Linked DNA regions of Schizosaccharomyces pombe. The protein of the gene in region 3 purifies or fractionates together with the protein of the main gene of each other region. This does not show direct contact. Each region holds a gene or a part of one and is shown on either strand. Other genes may lie near its edges.

What was found. Proteins that work in one complex are often made in the same cells at the same time.
Region 1: the proteins of hfi1 (region 3) and sgf11 purify together in Schizosaccharomyces pombe (affinity purification with mass spectrometry, with the first as the bait; 2 studies listed by BioGRID). This does not show direct contact.
Region 2: the proteins of hfi1 (region 3) and taf9 purify together in Schizosaccharomyces pombe (affinity purification with mass spectrometry, with the first as the bait; 2 studies listed by BioGRID). This does not show direct contact.

What each region holds. Positions count from the first base shown.
Region 1 is NC_003424.3:1,370,688-1,375,012, reverse strand, and holds sgf11 (SAGA complex deubiquitinating submodule subunit Sgf11), read left to right. Parts: upstream 1-2,542; 5' UTR 2,543-2,705; coding exon 2,706-2,732; exon of another isoform or gene 2,733-2,968; coding exon 2,969-3,295; 3' UTR 3,296-3,339; exon of another isoform or gene 3,340-3,392; 3' UTR 3,393-3,535; downstream 3,536-4,325. Other genes in the region: F-box/WD repeat-containing protein Pof1, read left to right, coding at 130-1,947; mug10 (Rho guanine nucleotide exchange factor), read right to left, coding at 3,737-4,325.
Region 2 is NC_003424.3:336,208-340,553, forward strand, and holds taf9 (SAGA complex/transcription factor TFIID complex subunit Taf9), read left to right. Parts: upstream 1-2,094; 5' UTR 2,095-2,184; coding exon 2,185-2,676; 3' UTR 2,677-3,556; downstream 3,557-4,346. Other genes in the region: rcl1 (rRNA processing protein), read left to right, coding at 221-1,312; protein Mcp60, read right to left, coding at 3,900-4,346. UniProt on the Schizosaccharomyces pombe protein: Functions as a component of both the DNA-binding general transcription initiation factor complex TFIID and the transcription coactivator SAGA complex.
Region 3 is NC_003423.3:3,576,967-3,581,521, reverse strand, and holds hfi1 (SAGA complex subunit Hfi1/Ada1), read left to right. Parts: upstream 1-1,802; 5' UTR 1,803-2,066; coding exon 2,067-2,283; intron 2,284-2,325; coding exon 2,326-2,552; intron 2,553-2,603; coding exon 2,604-2,703; intron 2,704-2,821; coding exon 2,822-3,297; 3' UTR 3,298-3,489; downstream 3,490-4,555. Other genes in the region: Man5GlcNac2-PP-Dol translocation protein Rft1, read right to left, coding at 1-1,187; SPOM_SPBC887.17 (transmembrane transporter), read right to left, coding at 3,613-4,555. UniProt on the Schizosaccharomyces pombe protein: Component of the transcription coactivator SAGA complex. SAGA acts as a general cofactor required for essentially all RNA polymerase II transcription. At the promoters, SAGA is required for transcription pre-initiation complex (PIC) recruitment.

The DNA of each region.
Region 1 (4,325 bases), on a different chromosome or scaffold from region 3:
ATCTACCCGCATCATCCGTGATAACATTTTTTTGTGCTATTATCCACTCTATTTTTTTTTACCCTAAAATCAACCTTTGCATTGTCCCTTCTTTCTTTTCATACTTAATATTTAACCTTTATAAAAAAAATGACTACAGGTTATGAATCTGTTCCCACTTCCGAACCCTCTGATAATCTTGCACCACGAGCAGAGCTATGGCAACGCCATTTACTGGAAAAAAAAGAAGGTGATCAATCCATCTCCGTTTCGGCTTTTAATATTTCTTCAATGCATAATGAATTGTCTGGTTTAAGCGAAAAAAGTCGTCAACGTGTCGAAGCTGTATGGGCTGCTTTTTCAGAGGCTTCTTGCAGCGAACGTAAACTCGCTTTGCAAGGCATTTTAAACAACTGTTCGTCCTCTCTTCTCTCTTTTGCCTCCAGCACATTAGATTCTCTAGTACGCTTAGATTTTCTCTCTTTGCTCCCTGTTGAAATTTCGTTTCGCATTTTATCTTTTTTGGATGCTAGAAGCCTTTGCCAAGCTGCACAAGTCAGTAAACATTGGAAAGAACTTGCTGATGATGATGTTATATGGCATCGGATGTGTGAACAACATATTAATCGAAAATGTGAAAAATGCGGCTGGGGACTTCCGTTACTCGAAAGAAATACCTTATACGCAGCAAAGGCTTCCATACAAAAACGTTATGAACGACTTACAAAAAGAGGCGTCGATCAGGCTCATGAATCTTCACCCGTCAAAAAAGCAAAGCTGGACGATTATCCGACGTCGAGTAATGAAGAGACTATTTCTTCTGTCAAACCACCTTCTCCGAACTCCGATTCCAAATTCTTTCTTCCCTTTAAAACCAGACCATGGAAAGAAGTATATGCTGAACGTTGTAGAGTTGAATGCAACTGGCGGCATGGTCGTTGTCGCCAGGTTGTTCTCAGTGGCCACTCTGACGGTGTTATGTGTCTACAACTTGTAAGGAACATTCTTGCTAGCGGCAGTTATGATGCCACTATACGATTATGGAATCTTGCTACCTTTCAACAAGTTGCTCTATTAGAAGGTCATAGCAGTGGTGTTACGTGCCTTCAATTCGATCAGTGTAAACTTATCAGCGGTTCAATGGACAAAACTATTCGTATATGGAACTACAGAACCTCTGAATGCATTTCTATTTTACATGGTCATACGGATAGTGTTTTATGCTTAACGTTTGACTCTACGCTACTTGTTTCTGGAAGCGCAGATTGTACAGTTAAGCTGTGGCACTTTTCTGGCGGTAAGCGTATCACTTTACGCGGTCACACAGGACCTGTCAATTCTGTCCGCATAATTAGAGATCGTGGACTTGTTCTTTCCGGTTCCGACGATTCCACCATCAAGATTTGGTCTTTGGAAACAAACACGTGTCTTCATACTTTCAGTGCTCATATTGGCCCTGTCCAGAGTTTAGCTCTTGCTGATTCGCGATTGTTTTCTTGCTCATTGGACGGCACAATAAAGCAATGGGACATCGAGAAGAAAAAATGTGTTCATACATTGTTTGGACACATTGAAGGTGTATGGGAAATTGCGGCAGATCACCTTCGTTTAATCTCGGGAGCTCATGATGGTGTTGTTAAAGTTTGGGAGGCTTGTGAATGTGTTCACACGTTGAAGAATCACTCGGAGCCTGTAACCTCGGTTGCTCTTGGAGACTGTGAGGTAGTCAGTGGGTCTGAAGATGGGAAAATATATTTGTGGCTTTTCAATAATGCTCCAAATGAATCTCCAGTATCTACACAATCTGTTCCGATATCTTCCCTTAATGGTCAAAGGTCAAATTCAAGTGTGCAACGAGCTCTTTCTTCAGTACCCAACTACTCATCCTCGTTATCCAATATCTCAACCAGAAATTTAAATATCCCACCCTCTAATGCCAATAATGACGATGTGTCGATTCAATCGTAGTTACCCCAACATCGCATCGCCTTTTTGTTTGTGTCTATTTCTTTTTTTCTTCGGCATTTCGCTTGTATATCCTTCATTTTTCATCATTCGAAGCTATGTCTTTATTTATTGCTCGGGTTGCCAAAATGCCATATCTAAATTTGGCTCTTTTTTGGTAACAAACACTTTGTCTATAATCAAAAACTACTTCTAATATCCTTGCCTGTATTGTATTATTTAAATCATTTGAGATTGATGGCATCCCGGCATACAGTTTAGCCTTTTGCTTAATTTACTAGCGAATTATTTTATGACTTTTAACATTTTATGTATTTAATGAATACAATTTATCCTTAGTCGAGCTGAAGAATGTATGATTTGATGAATTGTAAAAGGGAGAAACTTAGGTACTATGTTGTAGGCGTTGTTTTTTCCAATTGCGCAAGTGGATTACTGATATTTTATTTCATGAGCGTGTGTATTTTGCATTGCTCTTGGAGTCAGAGAAGTATGAAATTAGCAAATTATATCAACACTCACTATTAGCAAATAAAGTCAGCTCCTACGCAAGCTAAAGATGTAACACCAAGTATTTGAGCCTAATAATTTTTATAATAAAGACATCAATTTGAAGCACTTCCGTTCTGTAAATCTCAATTTCCCATACGGATCAGTTGCATCTTTTTCCTCATTGTTTGAAATTTTGGAATCACCGGCTTTGTAACAATACTAACTTGCTTGGAATACTCAACTTTTGATTCCCAAAGAATGGTTTAAAGATGCAGCCTGCTTCTCTTGCCGGTATTGTAAGTACCTGATTTCTCTATGTGTAATTGTTTTTCCTTTCAAAATTAAACTTCCTCGCCAAAAAAAGATTTGCTTGTTTATGAAAGCATGTATCATTTAATCGATCGCGGTTTATTTAACATGTCAAATTGTAGTACTTTAAAGACAAAAGGAAGATTAATAGAAAAACAATTGTCAATAGGTGGCTGAATTTAACACTTGTACAACTTTTTCACTAACTTCAAATTTCAATCAGTCTTGCACTATATTTGAGAATTTGTTGAAAGACTACACCCATGAATTGACCCAAACAGTCCACAAGAATGCTAAATTATCTCTTCAAAAATGTCCGGCCTGTAACAAGCATTGTCGGCAGTATTGTACCAAGCCAGGCTACGATATATATGGTAATAGCGTCCAAACTCCTTCAAATGTCCCTTATTATTCTTGTTTAATGTGCAAGCGTGAAATAGCTGCGTCTCGATATGCTGCACATTTAGAGAAATGTAAAGGCAGGTCACTTTCAAACGCTACCTCGTACTCAACTCTTTTCGAAGATGACAATGCAGACGAAGAGGACTAGTTTTATTTGTTGCTTGTTTTAAGGTTTATTCTCATTATGCACATGTATGTCTTTCCCAGTAAGACGAACTACAATATTATTTTGCTAACTTGTGTAGCTAGTTATTAAACTCATATATAGTAGACTCTCACTTCAATAAAAAGACGAGGAATTGTAAACAAGAATTACCAATAAATATTATTAAAGGATAAAGATATTATTTAAACTATTTGGTTAATAATAATGCCCATATTAAGGTAACGAAGGTGAGAAGTAAATTTTTAATTGAGGAAAATATCTTTCAAAGTTGGTAAGACAAGGATAACAAGAATGAAGAAGTAAGTTGACAATAAATTTTGGTTTAACATATTTGTCATTATGTTCAGCAAATTTTAGGTAACGAGTGAATAATAGAAAAAAAATATCGTTTAATATTAAAAAAAGAAAAAGAAAGAAATTAGTTTATGTTTTAGCATTGACAACTTTCAATCGGTTTAATTTATTTTCTTTGCCATTTGAGATACCAGCTCTTTCATGATACCACTTAAGAAAAACAGAAGCAGCCATAGTTTGAGGTGCCAAATGACGGTTTAAAAGCTTCCCCTTCATATTTAAAGTACAAACTAAAATAGAGTTTGAAAGTTCATCTACTCGAAGACATTGTTCTATCGAAACGGCCTTCATTTCGATTTTTTTAACATACCTCGTCCAAACAACCAATCCATCGTCGCAAAAGACGCAGGCATTAAAATCATAAATAAATGAAGTAGCTGGAATAACTGACCCTTTAAATTTTATATGCCTTGGAATGTCCACCGCAACACCCTGGTTTCCACACAGTGCACTAAGTACTTGATAACTTTCCTCGCGGGCTTTTTCTTGGTCTATATAAGAACATAACTCTCGAAAATCGTCAAGTGTTTTGACCGCCATCCGAAAATCTCCATTCAAAAATGGATATTTCCGTAACATTTTACAAACACGTGCTAAATGTATAGGATATCTCAACAAGTGTTGCAATGGAATTAAAAGCTGACTGTTGCACGAAGAA
Region 2 (4,346 bases), on a different chromosome or scaffold from region 3:
CAGTACTTTTTTTATTGTTTACATTTATTTAGTAAACAAGTAGCTTTACGGTTACCACGGCAACTCCTAGCTGAGAGGTCAATTCTACCTCTTGCGCTGTAGAAATTCTTTTACCAAAACTAAAAATTTCCTGTAAAGGAATTGAAATATCAAAGTCTCGAAAAACGCGTTTTTAAAATAATTCGGGGCTTTGCATTCATTTTGAATTGTTAAACTCGTGATGTCAACCGGTCAGCTCAAACGCTTTAAAGGATGTGAGTATTTGACGCATCGGTTAGTCCTTGCAACTCTCTCGGGAACTCCGATTCGAGTTGAAGGAATTTACCCAGATGAAGCCGATCCTGGTGTCAAAGATTACCAGGTTTCGTTTTTAAGGCTGTTGGAGAAGTTGACCAATGGCAGTGTCATAGAAATTTCTTACACAGGTACTTCGTTCATATATCGCCCAGGAAATATTATAGGAGGTCGTGTAGTCCATGATTGTCCAACTACCAAAGGGATAGGCTATTTTTTGGAACCAATTCTAATACTTTGTCTTTTTGCAAAAACCCCTACTTCACTTACTCTTACTGGAGTTACTTCCAGTAATGAAGATATTGGTGTCGATGTTTTGCGCACTAGTGTATTACCCTCTCTTCAAAAGCGTTTTCAAGTTGGTGATGAACTTGAGTTGCGCATATTAAAGCGTGGTTCTGCTCCTGGCGGAGGAGGTGAAGTGAATTTTTTATGTCCTGTAATTAAAGAGTCTTTACCTCCCATTCGTCTCTCAGAATTTGGAAGAGTCTTCCGAATCAGAGGAATTGCTTCTTCAACTAGAGTATCTCCCGCTTTTGCAAATCGCTTAGTAGAATCTGCTCGCGGAGTTTTAAATCCTTTTATACCCGATGTTTTCATTTATACAGACGTTCGCCGTGGAGATGAATGTGGTAACAGTCCTGGGTATTCTATCACTTTAGTTGCAGAAACTAATAAGGGTTGCTCTTATGCTGCCGAGCATTGTGGTGAAGCTGGAGAAACACCAGAAGATGTTGGTTCCTTTTGCGCAAAGAAATTATTGGAAGTTATTGAATCTGGTGGTTGTGTAGATCCATATACACAACCTTCAACTTTAACCGGGATGCTACTATCCTCTGAAGACGTTAACACAATAGTTGTGGGTCAACTTGGTATTACTTCGCAATTAGTTGTTTTTCTTCGGGATGTGAAGGCACTTTTCAATTGCGAATATAGATTTAAAGAGCTCGAATCAGGCCAGGTGGAGATGTCATGCTTAGGAAAAGGATATTTAAATGTCAATCGCCGCATTCAATAGAAAACCATTTATCAGTGGGTCCTTTGCTCGTTTATTCTTCTTAAACATCATAACATTACATTTAACATATTGTTCGGGTACTTAAAATGAACGAACGTCTTTTTGATATATATTTACTCTTTAATCGTACTAAGAAGTTCATTACCCATTAACTTCCCATTGCAATTACGACATGAGTATAAAAAAAAAGCACCATACATATTTAGAGATTTAAATACGTTTTTGTGACTCAGTTGTTTTAACGGTCTTGTTATGTTCATTTTCAATTATGGTTTGAATTTTTTTGGTTTCCTTTAAATTACTTGGTTCTGTTTCTACTTCATTCTGCTTTAATATTTCTTTCCCGATGCCTCTTTTTCAGAAAATTAGTTCTTAGATGCTCTTCTCATTTGAAAATCTCAACCTTTTTCCATGTCCTTTTGTAAAAAAAAAACACTGCCAATTTTTAGTAAATTTGTATCATCATTGATTTTGTATGAATGATCCTGTTCGTTTTATTATTTACTAAATGAGAGTTTTTACTTTACGCTGCTTATACTAAAATTTTATGTAACTTCTAAATTATTAACATTGGTGATACTAAAAGCAACTTTGATAGGAATTGCTTTAATGAAATCATTCCTTCTGCATAAATTAAAGTTTGCTTAGATAAATTTTTATGACTCGAAATATTTAGTAATGTATATGTAAAATAGCATTGTTGTAAACTTTCTGAAACAAGCTATTTAGTGGTGTGCAGTGGACTCACGCTAACTTCTGAGTGGATACAATTTGCAACGCTCGCAACGACCATAAATCTTTTTGGGTGGTAAAACAGAAAAATAACGGGAGTCGTATTTGTCTTCGCATATACTTATAGTATTTAATAAATCATGAGTTCTCCAGGAATAAGTGATGAATCTATAAAAGGACCTAAGGACGTTCGTCTGATTCATCTAATACTTAGCTCTCTGGGTGTTCCATCATACTCTCAAACAGTGCCTTTGCAGTTGTTAACATTTGCACATAGATATACACAGCAGTTAATCCAGGATTCACAGGTTTATGCGGAACATTCACGTGGGCAAAATGCTCCAATTTCTGTAGAAGATGTACGTTTAGCTGTTGCTTCTCAAATCAATCACTCCTTCACTGGACCTCCACCAAAAGAATTTTTACTAGAGCTTGCTATGGAGAGAAATCGAAAACCTTTACCCCAAATTCAGCCGTCTTATGGGTTTCGTCTTCCACCGGAGAAGTACTGTTTAACTCAACCCAACTGGATTGTCAGTAATGAAACCCAACAGAATCAACCAAAGGAAGAGAACTCCTCGGATTCACGAATGGAGGAGGATAAACTTGACTTCTCTGTGAAGTCTGAATAAATTTATTTTCCTTTTAAAGTTGTTACTAATGCCGGGGAAGTGCTGATGATTTAGATATATGTAAATATTTTTGAAGCGCTCACGAATCTTTGCAGCAGATGATTATGGTTTTATTTATATGATTTTGTTCCTCCAGAACTTCCTATTTAACTTGCGAAAGCAGGGCGTGGGTAATAAATCGTTTACAGTTATAAGGTACCTGTTTATTTGTTTATTTGCTACGAAATCAGTGTATGGAGCAAAAAAGTATACAACATTTTTAAATTCAGCTCATATTGTACATTACTGTACACTGTATCTTTTATATATGGTACGACATAGAATAGAAAAAAGTGAAAGAGACGGCAACAACATCAGTGACGGCGCGCTTTTTCTTAAAATGTTACAAAAACTGGAGTAATTCATGTAAGGCTGTGAAATTGGCATGAGCTCGTCGAGAGCTTTCTTCAACTACTAGGCTCATTTAAAATTTACACCGCACCAATGTTTCTTTATTACTTACAATTGCCTCTCATCATAACTTTGAAAATACAATTTACCACAATACTAGTGATAACATAATATCATGCATTTTAATTTTCTTTATATGACCTATACAGATCCCCTAAAAAGAATATAGTAGGGATACTCGCACGACAGCTAAAAATATATAAGTTATATAATAATTTTGAATCAGAAGGAAGGCAACGGAAATATCCACACATTTTTTGCGCTCTCGGACATATATTTCATCCGCGTTATTTTCATCATTTTCAAAATCATTTATCTCTCACATACTTCAACCATTTCAAAGCTCACCACAAACCTGTATAGGAAATATAAAGAAACTTGATGCTTTACGTAAACACAATTCAGAACTTACAAAAACACAAAAGTGAAAACTTGGTATTTAAGTCGAAAGTCATACCATTCGTAAAAAGAGTGAAATTATAATGTGTAATAAACACAAGGTAAAACATTATGTTCATTAAACAAAATCAGGAGTTTGATTGTACAATTAGCAACCATATGAGAATAGCCGAATGAAAAGTTTCAAAACAATAAGTATCCATTAACAGAAGTATGACCCATTAACTAGTTTTGAAACTAAAGAATTTTACGAAGGTCAACAACATAATGCAAAATTAAAGCCAATTTCTCTGAATGGATTTAAATCATCATAATCATAAGCTTTTAATAAATTGTAAAAATTTAAAAAACCACGTCGGCATTTTTTTGATACCTTACATCATACCGGGCATTCCACCCATGCCACCCATTCCGGGAGGACCAGCAGGGGCCTTGGACTCTTCAGGAGCATCGACGATGGCACATTCGGTGGTACCCATTAATGAGGCGACTCCACTAGCATCAACTAAACCGGTACGTACGACCTTTAGGGGATCCAAAACACCAATTTCATTTAAATCAACAAAACGATCCTTAGCAATATCATAACCGATGTTAAATTCCTTGCCATAAAGCTCCTTAAGTTTACCAACAATCAAGTTACCCTCTAATCCAGCATTTTCAAGAATGGTTTGAGCGGGACGAGTGATAGCTTTGCGAACAATTTCGACGCCAAGCTTTTGATCAAAGTTATTTGTAGGAATGTCTCCTAAGCGAAGACTAGCCTTAACAAAAGAGGTACCAGCACCTGGGAGAACACCCTCGGAAACAGCAGCCTTAAC
Region 3 (4,555 bases):
TCATACAACTGAGAAGAGTTGGCTGCTGAAACATAAAATGCTTCCAACACGCCGTTTGCAGCCATAAACGGAATATACATTGCGTACCAAGATAAAATGCTAGAGCTATCAGGAGAAGCCCACTTACTTCCTGCGCCAAACAAAAGAACAATGTCCGAGTAATTACTTCCAAAAAGGATAAACAAACTCATATAAGAATATAATTTTAAAATCCATGCCAACAAATTTAAAGCCTTTTTTTCATCTTTTTTGTTCTTATAATGCGTTAACTGAGCAAAAACAATGTGAGAATGGTCCTCTACTGGTCGAAACACGATTCTCGCCAATAAAGAACCATAATTGGAAGCTAGCGCATACGGACCTTGAGCAGAAGGAGAAGCATACCATGCTACCATTATCTTATCGCCCTTTGTGATTAGGTGTTTTAACAACACTTGATAAGTATGTGAACAGATTATTCGAAGAGTAGAACTATCCCAAAATATATACCTCTCGTTTTCTCCCACTTTGTGGAGAAATATGGAGAATGGCTGTTTAGCAAAATACCTTAAAGTAAAAAAAATGGTTACTTTTTCTGACAAGTTACCGAGGGCAAAAGGAAGACTTGACGGTGCCTTATTCCTTCCTAAAACAGAAATTGCAAAGGACAATAAAGAGCAAATAATTGTTCCAAGTCCTTCTGCTGAAGCAGTCTTGGAGAACTTCTGGCGCCATTGAAGAACTTCATAGTATGGTTCAGATAGCAACTCAATGAAACTAGAAACGGTGTAAATAAAAATACATGTTTTAGAATAAGGAAAATTAGGAAGTGAATAGAAGTAAAATAAAGAAACCAGAAGCGATATTACGATACCAATGTAAACACTGATCAAAGAAGTATTCTTGATCAATTGCAACTGATCACTTAATTTTTTTGATTTGTTTGACTCAGTAGAAGTAGAGGTAATTATTGCATTTTCCGAAGGAATTCTTTGCATAGCTAATCGAACCGACTCCCTGCTGAGGAAAAGGATCGTACTCTGTAATATCTCAAAATGAATAGAAGAAAATGCATAGGCGCTAGGACTAGTTAACCGAATGGTCAGTTGGTTTAAGAAGAAAGTCAATATTCTCGAACTTCCTTGAAAAAATATGGAGGAGCGCAGTCCCTTCGAGGACGACTGCAGCAAAGAATCAGATTTATCCATTAGCTAGTTGGTACTGATCTAGATTCAAAGAATTATACTACAAGTCAATAGTTGTTTACCTCTTTCTTCCATTAATGTCCCAACTTTTTTTATGTAATTCGTATTCTAACTTATAAATGAGATATTTACTTGGTGGATTTGGCGCATAAATGGGTGTCTCTTGAGCGCGCAGTTAACTTTTCAGGACACATTACTAACATAGAGCATTAAGGAATTCTACAATATACTTGAGTTAACGAAGTAGAGTTGCCATGTTTAACCCGCCGGCTATACAGCCATATTTGTATTAAAGATGCGTTAAAGTACAGTAAGCTTCTACTGCTTGTAATTCATATGCTGTTAATACCAGGTTACCTTAAACTTCCATAAGTATAATAATCACAAACCCATTTCACGACTGATTTTAAGGACGTAGGTACAATTAAAATTCGTTTTCCTATTTTATAATTTTGTGGTTAGATAATTAATAGTAAATCAGATACTCAAGAATATACAGATGATTATTACTGTATACTAAAATTTTTTTAGGCTGAAGAGTGTTTGATGTTTAGTGAAGCGTACCGTAAATTAAGCATTGCTGGCATGTAATAACTTGGACTACTTCTAGTTTAAGGCATCATTCTACTAAGTCTGAAAGTTTTTTGTTTGAAACTCATTAAGAACCTTTGTAGACAACTTTCTATTAAAAAAAATAGGTTCTTTATTTGTACTTAGCTTTACTTTTGCATCTGCTTTTTAGCTACAAGTTTGAACAATTTACTTGTGTTTTACACCAATACTGGGACTTATGCGATTAAGCTTTCTATTTTAATTCTGCTATTATTTTTTTTTGTCATAAACTTATTTTGATGACCTTGATGATTAAATTGTACTAGAAAAATGACAGAAGGAGTTACTGTACAAAAAGTTCAAAGCGCTAGCTCGAATGGGCACAAACCCAACACAGTAATTTCGCAAATAATCTCAGAGATGCAATCACTTTTGGGTAGCAGTTTCGAGGTGTATACTAAAACAATGACGGACTTCTTAATTGGACAGTTGAGCAGAAAGGAAATGAAGTCGATGCTGTTAACTTTCGCTGGAAAATCAAATTTTGGTAAGATATAAATTTTTATTTAATATTGTTCTGACACTTTAGATAAACTACACAATTCAATCATTTTTCATATTCTCAAATTGATGCAAAAAAATAATGATACCTTTAGTGCTCTACATCATTTACCTTGGTTTAAACGGAAGAAAGTCGATAATAGTTTATTTTTACATAAAAAAATTAGTTCGCAGAATGCACAGGTTCGATTAATCAAGCGAATAGTAATGTCTTTAAGTTATAAAGACCGGGCTAGGATCAAAACTGCTTTAAAAGTAGGCTTTATTATAAGTCTTTTTTATCACCTTTCTAACAAACATATCTAGGAAAAGCCAGTTACACCAAGTTTGATCTCAGGATTGCTGCTGGAAACGAGAATTGCAAAATTACCTAAAATTCCTGTATCCCGAGACAAGCTGAATTCAGGTAAGCCTATTCTTTAATAGGTTCTAAGGAAGTATTCAAAAGTGTAACCATTTAATTTTTATTAACGGAAATTTCCTTTTAACCACAATTTGGGTAATATTTTCACTAACCTCATTAGTATTTGTAAATGATATTAAAGCCGGCTATGTTGCACCTCTAGCATGTGAAACACTTGAACTTCCAGATTCAGAATCGTTAAAAGAACGAATTACAGCTATTTCTCTTGAAAATGGCTTATTGGGTGGTGTACAAAAGGGTGTGTCTGATATTATATTGGCTGGGTTAGAAAGCCATCTAAAGAACATTCTAAGCAGATGCTTTTCTATATTAAACAAAAATATTCGACAAAAAAATACTGAAAATGATGCGGCAGGTTTTACCATTAATGACCTTAATCTAGCATGGACTATTGAACCTCATGCTTTTGTCGAACAGTATCCACAGAAGTTAAGAATGCCGTTTTTGCTTCATGATAGTTATACTGAAGATGAAATTTCAATTTGTGCAGAATCGCCAAGCTACATGCTTGCAAGCAATGATGCGCAAAGTGATAGGAATTCTGTTGCTTCCCTTTTAGATGAAGTGCTTTCATAACCGCGGAGGTTCTTTTTTTTTTAATCTAATCGTCAGAAGTGCTTTATTTATTTACAATCTTAAAAGCTTCAAGGGCTATTCTTCAAGCGTTTCAGCTCGCAAATATACAAGACTTGATTATCCTTTTAAGTTAGATTTTTTTCACATATTTTTTTTTTTTAATTTATAGTAATGAATTTAATATATAACAGGTTGCGAAATATGTAAGATGAAGCAATATAGATATTCTAAAATACGTAATTATCCAGCAAGATTTACCGACAGAATACTATTATTGTTCAAGATTTGCTAAAATATAGTATTAGTAAAAACTGTTTAAATACGATCATCAGTATCCATATCGATGCCAGCATAAGGCGTCCGGAAATCCTGTTGTCTATTACTGAAACTTTCACTTTCGCCAACAGCTTCGTCAACAGAAATGCGCTCATCGTCCATCTTCTTTAAAGATGTTTCTTTCATTGTAACGTCCTCATGAGTAGTTTTCTCATTTTTACCGTCCTCCGAATAAGATCTACTAGTAGCCATCTCTAAGGTGGCATTGTCCATAGCTTTGCGGTCGTCAGGATCTTCCCAAAATCTGCGGTTACCCTTAAAGAGGCGACGTACCCATTGAGGCAATAAACCCCCCTCGACACGCCATGTCCAAGCTTCTTTTTGATTATAGTCAGCCGGTACAAGTCTACCGCGTGACATTTTGTCAATAGCATAAATAATGGAGTTTAGTAGAGCGTAGCAAATAATACCGGCAATCAAGCCATACGCAATCGAGTAGGTAAATGGCATCAAAGCAATTGTAATAAAAGCAGGAATGGAGTCACCAAGGTAACTCCAGTTAATCAATGTAGTACTCTTCATCATCATACTGCCGACAAGTACTAATGTAGAACCGGTAGCCCAGACTGGAATACTTGAAAAAATAGGAGCAAAGAAAAGAGAAATGAAAAAGCAAATGCCTACAACCATACCTAAAATCCCTGTTCTACCGCCAGCCGAAATACCAGACCCGGATTCAATAAAAGCAGTAACAGGTGAGCAACCAAAAAGTGACCCAATAGAAATACTTAAAGCATCGACGATGTAAGCAACTGCGGATCCTTCAAAGTCTTGAGTACGAGGATCGACCAAACCAGCATAGTTAGCCATTGAGTAAAGTGTACCAGTCATATCCATAATGTCAACGTACAGAAAAGTAATCAGTGCAATGGCAAATTGACCGCCTGTAACGTTCCACTGTTGGGCAACAAGAATACGGTTA